Danio rerio: one gene and its partners. The protein of the gene in region 2 purifies or fractionates together with the protein of the main gene of each other region. This does not show direct contact. Links are inferred from orthologs where the notes say so. Each region holds a gene or a part of one and is shown on either strand. Other genes may lie near its edges.

The links.
Region 1: the proteins of ddx6 (region 2) and mcrip1 purify together in Homo sapiens (affinity purification with mass spectrometry; 3 studies listed by BioGRID and IntAct, with this or other methods). This does not show direct contact. The link is inferred for Danio rerio from reciprocal best matches to the Homo sapiens genes DDX6 and MCRIP1.
Region 3: the proteins of ddx6 (region 2) and atxn2l purify together in Homo sapiens (affinity purification with mass spectrometry; 6 studies listed by BioGRID and IntAct, with this or other methods). This does not show direct contact. The link is inferred for Danio rerio from reciprocal best matches to the Homo sapiens genes DDX6 and ATXN2L.

The regions. Positions count from the first base shown.
Region 1 is NC_133178.1:64,677,913-64,682,724, forward strand, and holds the start of mcrip1 (mapk-regulated corepressor-interacting protein 1), read left to right. Parts: upstream 1-1,877; 5' UTR 1,878-1,975; intron 1,976-2,520; exon of another isoform or gene 2,521-2,672; intron 2,673-4,812. UniProt on the Homo sapiens protein: The phosphorylation status of MCRIP1 functions as a molecular switch to regulate epithelial-mesenchymal transition. Unphosphorylated MCRIP1 binds to and inhibits the transcriptional corepressor CTBP(s).
Region 2 is NC_133193.1:46,839,206-46,844,017, forward strand, and holds the start of ddx6 (probable ATP-dependent RNA helicase DDX6), read right to left. Parts: upstream 3,067-4,812; 5' UTR 3,026-3,066; intron 2,731-3,025; exon of another isoform or gene 2,643-2,730; intron 1-2,642.
Region 3 is NC_133178.1:14,060,317-14,065,028, reverse strand, and holds part of atxn2l (ataxin-2-like protein), read right to left. Parts: intron 2,596-4,712; coding exon 2,485-2,595; intron 2,406-2,484; coding exon 2,337-2,405; intron 2,250-2,336; coding exon 2,185-2,249; intron 659-2,184; coding exon 321-658; intron 1-320. UniProt on the Homo sapiens protein: Involved in the regulation of stress granule and P-body formation.

The DNA of each region.
Region 1 (4,812 bases), on a different chromosome or scaffold from region 2:
ACGTATGCTGGATAAGTTGGAGGTTCATTCCGCTGTGGCGACCCCTGATGAATAAAGGGGCTAAATATGAATTCAAATAGAGTAGGCTTGCTTAAAAGGATAATTCACGCCAAAATAAAGATGCATCCACAATCTTCTCACCTTAGCTGTGGACTTACAGGTGAAATAAAATCTGTTTAGCTGGCTGCTAGCTCTCTGCAACTCCTAAATGGTCACCCACTGAAGCTAAGCAGGGCTGAATGGGCAACCAACCAGCAGTCCGTATGGGTCTTAATGCCCCAGTATAGTGATGGGGACTCTATACTGCTCAGCGATCGTCGTCTTTCGGATGAGATGTTAACCTGAGGTCCCGACTCTCTGTGGTTGTTAAAAATCCCAGGATGTCCTTCGAAAAAGAGTAGGGGTTTTTACCCTGGCATCCTGGTCAAATCTGCCCACTGGCCTCTGTCCATCATGGCCTCCTGACCATCCCCATGTCATAATTGGCTTCATCACTTATTCTCCTCTCGATTGTTGTGCGATCTGGCGCAATATGGCTGCCATCGCGTCATCCAGGTGGATGCAGCACACTGGTAGTGGATGAGGAGATTCCCCTTATGTGTAAACCGCTTTGAGTGCCCAGAAAATGTAAGGAATTATTATTATTATTTTAGATGTTATTACCAGTATGTTAGTTTTAACGAGATCTATATAAATAGTGTGCTCCAAAGCAGTGACAAAATTTGCGTTTGTAAGATATAAACATCTAAAGCTTGTAGTTGTCACTGATATAAACATCTAAAGCTTGTAGTTGTCACTTCAATCCAAATGGGACAATAATTTATTTCATGTCACCTCACACTTTAGTTTCTCATCAAAGCTGCTAAAATAAAAATTGGTGTTTTAAATTGAGAAAGTGGGCTATATGCACAGCTAGTATTTTTCAGCCAATTATGACCTTCGGTGGAAGCTTTATGTGGCTATTATCAATTTCATGAGATGACTTTTACAGCATCAATGTTGTAATGTAAATCAAATATAATCAGTTAACTTGACCTAATACGCATCCAGTTGGTTGTTAAAACGTAAAAAGAGACAAAAAACGTTTAAACGCAGGCGTCGTCAGCCACAGGCCAGCGCAGAAATTCCATTGAAAATACTGGGGTACAATTAATTTCCATATTTTATAGACATGGCTAGCAAAATATAATTTAATGCAGTGCTTCTTGTTAGGTCTGACACCCACTTTTTTTTATTATTATATCTTAACCGCTGCGATTTTGTAAGGGATGACAATTCGCCGGAAGCCCTGAGGCTGGATGACTGGAAATAAACATCCGACTGAATACACCCCATTCACTCAACGTTATGACGCGCATGCGCTACTCGCTCAGTTGAGTATGGCTGACCCTATGGTGATTGCTAAAAGGGATACAGCTGCGATCAGAAGTTAACGAGAATTATTTATAATATTTATTAAATTGTCAATTCATTGTATTTTTTATCAACGTTTACTCCTACCACAACCAAAAACACATCACAGAAATGTAAAAACAGTAATTAAACCGAGTATTATTCATAGTAAGTTATTAATTAGATGACCATGGCAATTAAAATCTTTTTTATTAACGTCTAGCCCTACTACAACCCTCACTATAATGCAAAAGTATTAATAATTATTCTTAAGCATTGTGAATTGAATAAACTAAATTGGCCGTGGAGTATGAGCGTGAATGCAAGTGTGTGTGTGCTTCCCAGGTTGCATCCGCTGCGTAAAACATGTGCTGGATGAGTTGGCGATTCATTCCGCTGTGGCGACCCCTGGTTAATAAAGGCACTAAGCCGAAAAAAAAGAATAAATGTTAAGCAATGTGAATATCCGCAGCTGTATCCCCTCTAGACTTTACCCCGGAAGTAATTGGTTGGCATTAGCAACGTTTCGGCCGAGCCAGGCCTGAATACAGAGATAGCAGGAGAAAGAGAAACAAACAGACAGGTTTGAAAAGCTTCATACACTCATTTTGTCATAAGCTGAGTGCTAGTCTGAATGTGTCGCGATGCTTTGTTTACACTCAGATTTCTCGTAGAGTCCGCGTCAGATTCCCACTATGAACATAATGCTAACCGACTAGCTGCCAGCAAGTCATAAACAATAACAAACACTGAGTTACTCAGTTACCTTGATTCAGATAAACCCTGTGCTTGGGGACACACAGAAGCAGGAGTGTGTGTTTGTGTACACTATCGACAGCTCAGACATGTTACTGATGGGTTTAAGTCATTGATGCTGCTGATCTGATCATATCTAACTTACTGACGTTAATACACTCTTCTCACAGTATCTTATAACATTCCTATTCATTAGGGTGAAGTTGGTCCTATATTTGCACATTCAGACTTTCTCCTTAATAATATGACTTCAGAAAAGTATTCTCCGTTCATTCTACATGAGGATATCATAGTAGCAGCCTGTGACTATCAAAGTACAACATGTACACAGTCAGATAAATAGTGCTAATGTAGTTTTGAAGCCATACTTACACGCGATTTCAGATTGAGGTAATGTTGGTTTTATATATTCACACATTTCGACTTTCTCTTTAATATTATTATTTCAGAAAACTATTGTTTGCAAAGTCCAAACTGGGAAATCCTGTTATCATCGGTGTTGAGGTTAATGCGTTACAAGCAGTGGTGTAAAGAGTACTGAAAAATCATTTTTACTTGCCTAAAAGTGTAGTGCAAGCAGAGTAAAAGTATCTAAAGTAAATATTACTCAAAGTATGAGTAAAAAGTAGAGCTTTCAAAAGTACTCAAGCGTAGTGAGTATTACGCTGTGAAAAGCTGATGTGTTTGCATGTAATTTGTGTGTAAACGTAACATTCTGTAGTGCATTTAGTTATTGCCCAGCAGGCACACAACGTCATAAGACGTTAATATTAGGTAAGGTTTAGGTTGTGATGTCAGGTGACCAAAATTTAATGTCTATCCAGCATCTTTTGTTACTTTGATATCCAATATCGACGCTGATATGTTGAAATTTGGTTGATTCTGCGTTGTGCTAGAAAGTGACCAAAATCTAACGTCGAGCCAACATCTTAAACCAACGTCATATTGATGTCAAATACTGATATTTATATGTCAGGTATGGCAACCAAAATCCAACATCTGATAGACGTCATAGTGGTAACGTCCACATAAGATGTAACATTAGGTATTTGGTTGATTTTAGGTTGTACATTGATGTCGGCCTGACGTTGGGTTCTGACGTCAACCTGATTTTCATTTCCAAACAAAATGCAATGTCCCCCATCGTTGGGGTACATTGTCAATCTAACGTCATATTGACGTCCTGTGTCTGCTGGGTGTTTAAGGCCTTTTTGGTCATCATACCGTAAACATCCATCAGCATGCATCTAAACAGTCTCTGGGTCAATGTGTGTGAAGATTTTGCACATCTTCTTGGACACTTTTAATGCTTGCAAACAGTTTGCTGCAATTATAAGTCCCCCATGTCTTGAGGTTGATTATTATATGTGATTTACCTTCTATGTGTGATTTGATTGGACAGGAATCACAGGACGGATGTGTCCAATCCCCATAGACAAGCATAAAGTGGTGACTGCAGGTTGAAGGAAAGTAGTGGAGTAAAAGTACAGATACAGCACTAAACATGTACTCAAGGCAAAGTAAAAGTACTCATCTTTAAAACTACTTAGTAAATTACAATTCCTGAGAAGAACTACTCAATTACAGTAGTTAGAGTATTTGTAATTTTGTTATTTTACACCACTGACTACAAGAACATGAGTTACGTGATAATATTATATATATATATATATATATATATATATATATATATATATATATATATATATATATATATATATTTTTTTTTTTTTTTTTTATTTACTATATATAATATACACAATTATATTATTACTTTTCTAAGTAACGAGTAAAGTAACACATTACTTTTAAATATACAGTTGAAGTCAGATTTATTAGCCCCCCTTTAATTTAAATTGATATTTTTTTTAAATACTTCCCAAATGATGTTTAACAGAGCAAGGAAATTCTCACAGTATGTCTGATAATATTTTTTCTTCTGGATAAAGTCTTATTTGTTTTATTTCGGCTAGAATAAATGCGGTTCTTAATTTTTTAAACACCATTTTAAGGTCAAAATTATTAGCCCCTTCAAGCTATATTTTTTTCGACTGTCTACAGAACAAACCATCGTTATACAATAACTTGCCTAGTTACCCTAATTAACCTAGTTAAGCCTTTTACTGTCACTTTAGGCTGTATTGAAGAGTCTTGAAAAATATCTAGTCAAATATTATTTACTGTCATCATGACAAAGATAATATAAATTAGTTATTAGAAATGAGTTATTAAAACTATTATGTTTAGAAATGTGTTGGTAAACTCTTCTCTGCGTTAAACAGAAACTGTGGGAAAAATAAACAAGGGGGCTAATAATTCTGACTCTTACTGTAAGTAAAAATATTTGAGTTACATTTTAAAACACAATGCGAGTTACTTTTTAGTTCAGTTTTATATATATAAATAAATAAATTGCTGAATTAAAATTAACATAGTCACGTTGAATCACGCTGTCACCAACAGAAAGCTGGAATGGGCAGAAAAGAAGATGGCAGAGCCTTACATTTCTGTGATGGAAAAACTCTCATTATTCTGAACACATGGAAGAAAATGAAAAGAGCATGATCTGAATGGACAATGATTTGATGACAAATGATTTGACTTTTTAATAAGAAAAAAAGTACAAAAGTTGCAAATGCATCACTTTAAACAGACATTACTCTG
Region 2 (4,812 bases):
AACAAATAAGATTAAGACATGGAGTATGCCAATTTTAGTCACATTACTAAACTGCAGTAGACATGTAAACACCTTGAATGAAACTATTACCATCATGTGGGATTTGCTGCATTTTGTGACTGGACATTTCATACACACAGCTGTTTGACACTATTCTCTGTACCTACCGAGTCAGTGAGGAATCACAGACACCTGCATCATGAAATGTGGAGTTTATGTTTCCAATACTGCGTGCGTTATCAAATTCCAATAAAACGACCCTCTTACAGCATTAAATACTCATCCAATATTTCATTTGTCAGGGGAGGCATGCATGAAATGTTCCTGAGTGAAAGTGCCAAACTGCAGTTAAAGTCGACAAATTTAAAACACCGGAAATTACATGATATCCCAGAGGAAATGTGAATAGCGTGGCGATTCTATGAAGTTAATTGAATTGTGCTACAACATGTAAAACAGGATCATGAAAAGAACATACAAATTGCAACTTATGCGAACACCTTAATCATATTACTGTCTTATTCAGATTAAGGCAAATAATTTAATTACTAATGTAAACTTAGTCATTGAGTGCTTAGATCAAGCAATGTCGACGAGGCATGGGACGATAAGTTTAAGGTATACCACGGTTTGGAAAAGCCAAGGTTTTAAAACCGCAAAAGTTTCCTACTATACCATTCCTAAGGTATGTCCAAGTTTTGTTTTTTGTTGTTGTTGGTTTTTTAGGACAACAGTATTTCCAGCAGAAAGGAATCAAAAAAAAAATCCAAAGATGCTGTTTTAAATTGTAAGGAAATCTGTGTTTTTTTAAACAAATGAAGACAGCATTAGTCAAAGGCTGTGTCCGAACCGCCTACTACTCAGTAGGTACTGCTTTTGAATTTAAATGTACTACTCGGCAGTTACAAACGTACGTTCTATACAGTATGAATGTGAAAAGTATGGACAGAATTCGGACGTACTATATCCACCATTTTGTCATGGTCACGTGACCTACCTGCATCAGTTGCGTTGCTTAACTTCCATTTATGAATTCTCTCACGTGGCATTATGGGACAGCGCAGCGTGCATAGGATGCGCACTCCGGAATCTCACCGGAAGTAGCAAGTCATCCGGGTACTTCTCGCAAACTGATTTTCGAACTCTATGAATTTGGACATACTACTCGACTCGCATACTGATTTTAGCATACCATATAGTATGGAAGTATACGGTTTCGGACGCAGCCAATGATTCATTTGAATTATTTAGCCTAACATGTTTACCATTACAAAATATATCAAATGTTTCTCTAAATAAAATAAATTGTGTTGAAAGGGGAGAAAAAAAAAGTTAGTTTTTTTACCCAGACATTTAATTAGAATATATTTTAAAAGGAGTAATCACAATATCGTAAAACAGAGATATTTTTATCCGAGGTTATCATACCATCAGAATCTTATACCAGCCCATGCCTAATGTCGACCAAGCAAGACATCGTATGAGGTCTAATGTGAAACTTTGTGATGCAAGATGAGATCAGGGTTAAGGTTGGGTTTGATAAAAGGTTCCATCATTTTAATTTTCTTTTAACAAAAAGTGTGCTAATTGCTCTGTGCATCTTTACCACAAACTAGCACTAACACTTATACTTCTACAATTACCTGCAATATTACAGCATCAAAAGAGTTAACACACACTCATGCAGAAATTACAGGGACAAGCTCTGGTAGAAGTGTCAAGATAAAAAAGTCTCTTGAATTTGTAACCAATTACAACTTTAATTCATTTTCAGATCTATGAACAGACCATAAACGTTATTAAATGTCTAATGTGAGTTCAATAATGATGGCAGCAGCAGCTGGCACAATGTCAACACGATAGGCCTCATTGTAAAACAGCCTCGCGTTTACCTAAAGCATTTAAAAATGACAAACTTTAATAAATGTGACTTCAGTGTTGTTATGCATCTATAAAAACAGGTGAAGTTGCACGTTGACTACACAGCTGTGGAGCTTAAAATTAGACATAACAAATGTTTGGTTACCTTAAGTTAAGCGAAAGCGTATAGTTCATTGAACTCATTCCACGAATACTAAAAAACAATGTTATGTTATACGATATAACCAGTGTCACGTTGTAGTTATTAAGCTAAAATGTACATCTTAAAGGTTAACCGTATTGATTCCACATAACGTGAAACTCGGCGTCACGCAACAAACGTTAATGCTAATGTTTAGCTACGCAGCTACCGCTGACGGCTTCAAGCCAGACAGATTTTAATAGTCGGATACATTTTAAATCTTTAGCAAACACGGTTATCATAATACGATGGAATGTGGCTTTTATTATAAGCAAATCTAAATATATAAGCTGTTAGGAAGGAAATATTAGCAGTGCTCAAGCTCGTTAGCTTTTGGCTTGCACACAGGCCGCACGCGTAACCTCAGATTCACAATCACCAGTATAAAGAACTAAACGCTCGTTTCATAAACGCTAAAACAGAAGCAAGAACATATTTAACTCTTAACTAAATCAGCTAACACAAACACTGCGAGCCAAAAAGACATCACAAATTTGTAAACACCAAGACACAAAGAAACCCACAAAACCGACTTAATCCCCAGAACACAACACGTAGATTTGACGTTCTGCAAACTTACCAAACGTGGCAGAGAATATCTTTCAGTGTGTTTGTGTTTGTGAATTATAGGTGTAGAGTTGTGACATATTTCGGGGTGTAAAGCGAGTGTGTAAGATGGCTTCCAGTCATCTTTAAACCCTCCCATAATCAGTCACATGAGACAGAGCCCTGTCTAATCCACACAAACGCAACGCATATGACGATTGTTTAGAAAACGCAATTTAATGCTGCCGTCATTTCAAATGCGTTGTTAAATATATATATATTAAGAATACGTTAATTAAGCTCTTAGAATTTCGTTTTATTTATGTTTTATTTATTTGTAAGCGGTTGAGGTCGTCACAATTACACATTTTGCTTTAAAAACGTCCTAATTACATAGCAGCGCAGTTTAATTCCTACCTGAGCTTGTTGTAGTCTTGGCTGAAGCACGGCATGTGAAGGGTGTCATTTAATTAGCTCAACGTGTTTATACTTGACTAATTGGTGTAAGGATCCATGTGGTTTAGACATACTGTTTTTTTATTTGGGTATTTAAAAACATATTTTATCTTTAATAATAATGCTTATTTTATTATTGTTGAAGAGGCTTGAAGTGCACAAAGTAGGAATCTGTTGATAGGCACGCCTGAGGTGTTTGGAGGTAGTTAATGAATTGCCTTGAGTAGTTTAATGACTAATTAGACTGACTTATGTGGCTAGAAAGTAGTTTTTTAACGTAACGTAACATTTTTGTGCATTAGTATGTCTGTTATTTATTTATTTTTCGTTGCGAAAAAACATAAATTTTGAGCACGATGACGAACGTGTCCTTAAGTTTGACATAATATACATTAAACCTAATAATTCATCAATTTTCTCTCAGCTTAGTCCATTTATTCATGAGAGGTTGCCACAGCGGAATGAACCGCCAACTTATCCAGCATATGTTTTTTTTTTTTTTTTTACAGCAGATGCCCAGCTTCAACCCAGTACTGGGAAACATCCATACACACTCATACACTGCAGCCAATTAAGTTTATACAATTCACCTAAATGCAGTTACATCCAAATATATTTAGATGTGTTGTTGGACAGGAAACGTAAGTGGACTGAGTCTATAAGGAAAAGGCAACAGAGAATGTACTTCTTAAAGAAACGATTGTCTTTTATTGTTGACAACACATCGTTGATCATATTTTCTAGTGTTTTTATTGAAATTATTGCAACATTTTGTGTGATCTATTGGTATGGAAATGCTTCTGAGGCCCAGAAGAGGTCACTGGGAAAGGTGGTAACAACAGCCAGTAAGTTCTTGGGTATAAAACAAAAGGGCATTAATAGTATATACAAAGAAAGTGTATTAAATAAGGCTATCATGATTGTCTATGATGAGAGACATCCTTTATCAAACACCTTTCAATTGTTACTATCAGTTTGTCGATATTGTGTTTACAGATGTGTGAGAAATAGGACAAAATGATCATTTATAGGGAGCGCGAGGCACAAAGTAATGCAGGGTAACGTAACATGGAGTTGTAAGGTATTTGCTCAGGGTTATTTATGAGGTGCCGTGTAGGATTTAAATCAAACTTTGCTTATCAACACATACATAAAACACGTGTATATACACCTATAAATTACTCGCATATACACCCATACTACTGGATGTTCAAAACAACATGAATGAAACTTGTGTATATACATATAAACTTGACACATGAATACACCCACATACACACGCACATACATATAAACTCGATCCTCACATAAACACTCACATTAACACATGCACATACATATAAACTTGCTGCATGCAAACACACCTATACACACTCGCATATACAGATAAACTCGATTCTCGCATAAATATCCACATTTATATGCACATACATATAAACTCGCAGCATGCAAACACACCTATACATAATCGCATATACATATAAACTCGGTCTATGCAAATACACCCTCAACAACACATGCACATACACAAACTCACTGCATGCAAACACACCTATACTGGCATATAGCCCCAATGTCTAAACTCAGTGCGTGTATAAACACCCAAAATAACACTCGCGCAAACATACAAAAAATAAATAAATAAATAAGATTCACAAACGTTTATCAGGAATCTGGTTATTGCAAAGCTTATGAAATAGAAATAATGTGATTAATAGAGGGATTAAATATGTTAAATTATGAACATA
Region 3 (4,712 bases), on a different chromosome or scaffold from region 2:
AAATAAATAAGTCACAATAGAAATAAAATGTAAAAAATAATATAAATACATTTTTAAAATAAATAAAATTAAATATAAATGAATAAATTTTTTTAAATAAATAACACAAGCAACAGAAATATATGTAAAATATAATTAAATAGAAATAAATGTAAAAAAATAAACAAATTTAATAAATAAAAGAGTTAAATATAAAAAATATATAAACAATTTTAAAATAAATAAATGTAATAAATTAAAAATAATAAAAAATAAGATTACTAGTATTGGTCACAAAAGTACTTGATTAAAAGCTGAACAGTCTGACATGTTCTACTCACTCGGTCATGCCCTCAGATCTCTCAGGGGCCTCTGGTTTGCCATCCTCACTGCCTGGGGTCCTTGCAGGTTGGGGCGCCCCCGCCGTCTGCCCTTCTGCAGGTGGATTTTGCATGCCAATCCCAGACGGTGCAGAGATGGATGTGGCCGGTGGAGGGGTGGAGGTCACCGGCCCTTCTGGATTAGTCTCTCTACTTCGCTCCTCTGCTGAAAGCTCTGTGTTCGGGGTTGTGGGCGGGGCTGGTTTTGCTTCTGTGGGAGCGGCGGGGTCAGTCTGTGTGTTGTGGGCAGGGTTTGCTTGAGTAGATTCAGTGGGCAAAGTTTTGGGGTTTTGCTGAAGCTAAAAAATAAATATTAATAATTTAAAAAAATAAAATAAATTTCACAAATAAGGAAAAACGCTCAGACTTAGCAACATAGTTCACATTCTGAAACAAGCTAATCTCGCCTATATACAAACAAAAGCGACTACAATGCAAACATGTTTGAACATTGTTCATATTGAGTGTATAGGTTTTTAAAGTGTGCTAACAACAGGTACTTTACTATGCCATCAGGCTAAGGAGGAGATGGAGTGTGTCCACAGACTCATTAACATCAGGGTTCTTTACAAAGTCAAATTTAAGCACTTATCCAAATACTTTAAATACATTGAAAAACATATTGAAAATACTTTATCACATTATATCAGATGCTATTTGTTAAAACACTACTATATTATAGAATAGTATAGCAAAAAACAGGGGAGGATTTGTGAAAGGTAGTAAAGAAAGAATGCAACAGGTAGGTCACTTGATCAATGTAATACAAGTTGTTTTCACATGACGACACTGATGACGTGTGAGACTCAGATGGTGGGCAGAAAGTGATTCTTCTGCATAGGAATCTCTATCAGAACATCAAAATGTTCGTTTTATGTTGTTTATTATTGTTTAACTCTAGATAAGAAATGCCGAACAGCTTTTATGGACTACCAAAAGCTTTTGCTTGTAAAGGGAGGAAAAGTTGAAGAAACTGGCTGAAAAACAGAAAAGGGGCAATGTAATAAACAATTTTTAGTACATCTATGTGTACAAAGTTTTTTGAACGAGATAATTTCATTTGACAGCACCAATAAAGATGATATACAGGCCTAACTATGTGTATTAGATGGTAATGTGTTATATAAAAATCACATACAAACACCACCAAGCTACAAAATCCAGGAGAATATAACCTTTGCGACAAAACTAGACTGTTACTATTGAAAAGCACCCCCCCTCTCTTGGAAAAATAAACTAATAATAATGTAGACTATGCGTCCACAGTTTTGTATGCTTTCATCTGTTATTACGTGATGTCGAAGATATCAGCAGGGGGGAAAAAACTATAGTAATTTATAATGAACATGTTTTTAAACCACATATTAAAGTGTATAATGTGCACAACTCTTTGTTAATGAATTCTCCCGAATACTGTAGCATTTTAAACTGAAACTATAGTAAATACTTTAACGTTAGAGTAAACTCTGGTGCAATGTGATGGTGTATAATTATACAAACTGAAGCCTATTGAATAATTTGTTTATTACTACAGTTGTGATGTACCACAGCAACAATATAATTACTACAACAGTTTAATTCAAGTAAAAATCTAAAGTATGCTTCCAAACACTATAGTATGTTCAAAGTAATAGCTAAATATATTTTAGTTTAGTAGAAATTTCATCGCAAAAAAAATAAAAATAAATAAATAAAATCGCAAAAAGACTTTCCTGCATCTCCCACTCAGTTTTTGTCCTTCCTGCCCTCCATCTGAATTTCGCGAGTCACCAGAACCACGTGATTGAAAACAACCTAGATGCAGATTACATTCGTGCACACTCACCCTAAAAGTATTACCAAACTTGCGAAGCTCCTCAGAGATTTGTGATCTCTGCTGGACCGAAGGTACTGTTACAATAAATAGAAGAACATTCATTAGCTAAATATCAAGAGGATGCAATGAAATTGGAGATAGCAACACAATACTAGCATTACTTTTGTTGCTCTTGCCCTCCTGTGGACTAACTGGACTCTCCATCCTTTCCTTGGACAGGATCTCATTTACTGTGGTGAAAATGAAAAGGAGTTAAGACGCACCGACAACTGGACAGTGTCTTAAATCAGATTTATGACAACATTTTACCATCTACAGGGAACAGAGGAGTGGGGCCAACAGGTTTGGATGAGGGGTCCAAATAAGATCCAGTCAGAAGAGGGTCCTGAGGAGGAGCATCTGGCTTAGGGGAGCGAGAGACTGCATGGAGAGAAGAAAAAAAAATTAGCAATGTGTTAAATTAGGGGAAAAAAAATGATAAAGCAATATTTACCAAATTTAAAAAGTCAGTATTTCTACAGTATGTTTGGCCTGTTTTAATATTAAAACCTAAAATAAGCATTTAATCAAATTAAATTGAAGATTACTTTAAAACCTAAAAAAAAAAAAAAACTAACAAAGGACTGTGGTTCGCTAAATTTGGATATGTGAAGTGATTGAAAAAGTTTTATTAGTGCAGGTGAAAAATATGTGTCTGTACTTATAAAATATGACGAGCAGTCAACAAGATTTGAAAAAGAAAACACCTTTTTCTTATTCCCTTCATTTCTGTATTTGTAACTTCACCAATCCATTAAAGAGCCCATATTATGGGTTTTTGAAAATGAGCTTCCATGCATTGTGTAACACAGCATCAAGTGAATAAAAACATCCAGCTGAGGTTTAAATCTGAAAGTGCCCAGCGTTCAAAACTATTGATTCTTTAAAGAAATAATCGACTCAGAGAAGAATAAATTAATCGTGTTCAGTTCAGATCTTTTGCCTGAACACATCGACGACAATACATCAACAAAAATGTAGTACCGGGTCCGGTTAAACGTGAACTTGCCTTTTCATTTAGACACTGGTGGAGCTCAAGGGACCACAGGACTGATCATGACATGAAGATGACAATCACTGACAGATGGAGATTCGCTTGCGGGTATTAAAGGGTTTTCACTACAATGCTACTGTATAGCCAACCTAGTGTTGTGTTTGTTCCTGTCATTTTTCTAATTATTTATACAATATCCTCCTTAGCAATACCAGCCGTTTGTTATTAAAGGAAGGAGCAGCAGAGTAGGCGAATATATTTATTATGTATGGGACCAGTTTCTTCTTCCTTTGGATCGTAACATGTAAGTGTAATTAAAATTGTTGCCTCGTTTTGTGTAGTTTGCAAAATATGTATTTTTGTTGTGTTGTAACATCACATGGCCTGTAATTACTTATCTATTATAGATCAGTGCTTCTATGCATCTCTCAGGTTAAATCCGTGTTAGGCTATTTACATATTGCAACCAAACCCATGTTGAAAACATGACGTGTGGTTCTTCCTTTACCGATTTAAATGCACTTCTGAACTCACGATCCTCTGCTGTCATCTTTGCTAAGGCCGCCATCATCTGTTCCTCACATTAGCAGCGTGGTCAATTTTCAAAATAGTTCAGCTTTTGTCACTGTGTGGATTAATGCTGAATGTGTGTCGCTGTTATTATTTGAAGTTAGTGTTAAGAGTAGAGTAATATGCTGGTTTTTTAACGCATTGCTTTGTTGCATTCCTGCATTGGGCTCTCACATACTCTATTTCTTAGCCATGGTGGGCGTTTCACACCGTCTCGCGCTGAACCCAGTCAAACAATCACAACAGACTGGGTCATCGAACAAATCAGCACAGATTAGCATCATGCAAAGGAGGGGTTTGGGAACAAATGAATCGAGAAACGAATCATATGGGAGTCGTTGGGATAATTAGGTAAAAATAAATGCATATTTTAAGATAATGAAAGTGTTTTTGACTTTGCATGCATGTCAGTTTGTTGTTGGAGACCCCTAAAACCAAAATATGACCCTTTATAATGCAAAATAGGGGCTCTTTAACATTCGTAATTACACAGCTGTCTGAAATACTTGATTCAATTTGGTGATAGCGATCTTTCAAATTATATTATTCCTGGTACTTTGATTCATCCTGACAGTCAGGGAATGAGTTCACTTGAATATTTATATCCTCATCCGTCAAGACGTTTTGACTCTGTGACTGAAAGATTTGTAGGTTAGTGTATATGCTCAATCAGCTCCATTCAGCTGGTTTTGTTTGTCAGCTTTGCTTTAAAGAATGAAACTATTATGGCCTAGAACAAATGTTTTGAGTCTAATTTTTACATTCTGTGGCAAGAATGCATATATAAAGTGGGATAAAGTACTTCCAGGCAGTTTTTTTAAAGCTCAGATAAGCCTGTCAGGTGTTATTCTGTGATGATAGCCTCCAAAATGTACTTTATTCCTTACTTATAAGCCAGATGGTAAAGTAGCAAAAATTACAAAGTCAGCTACCA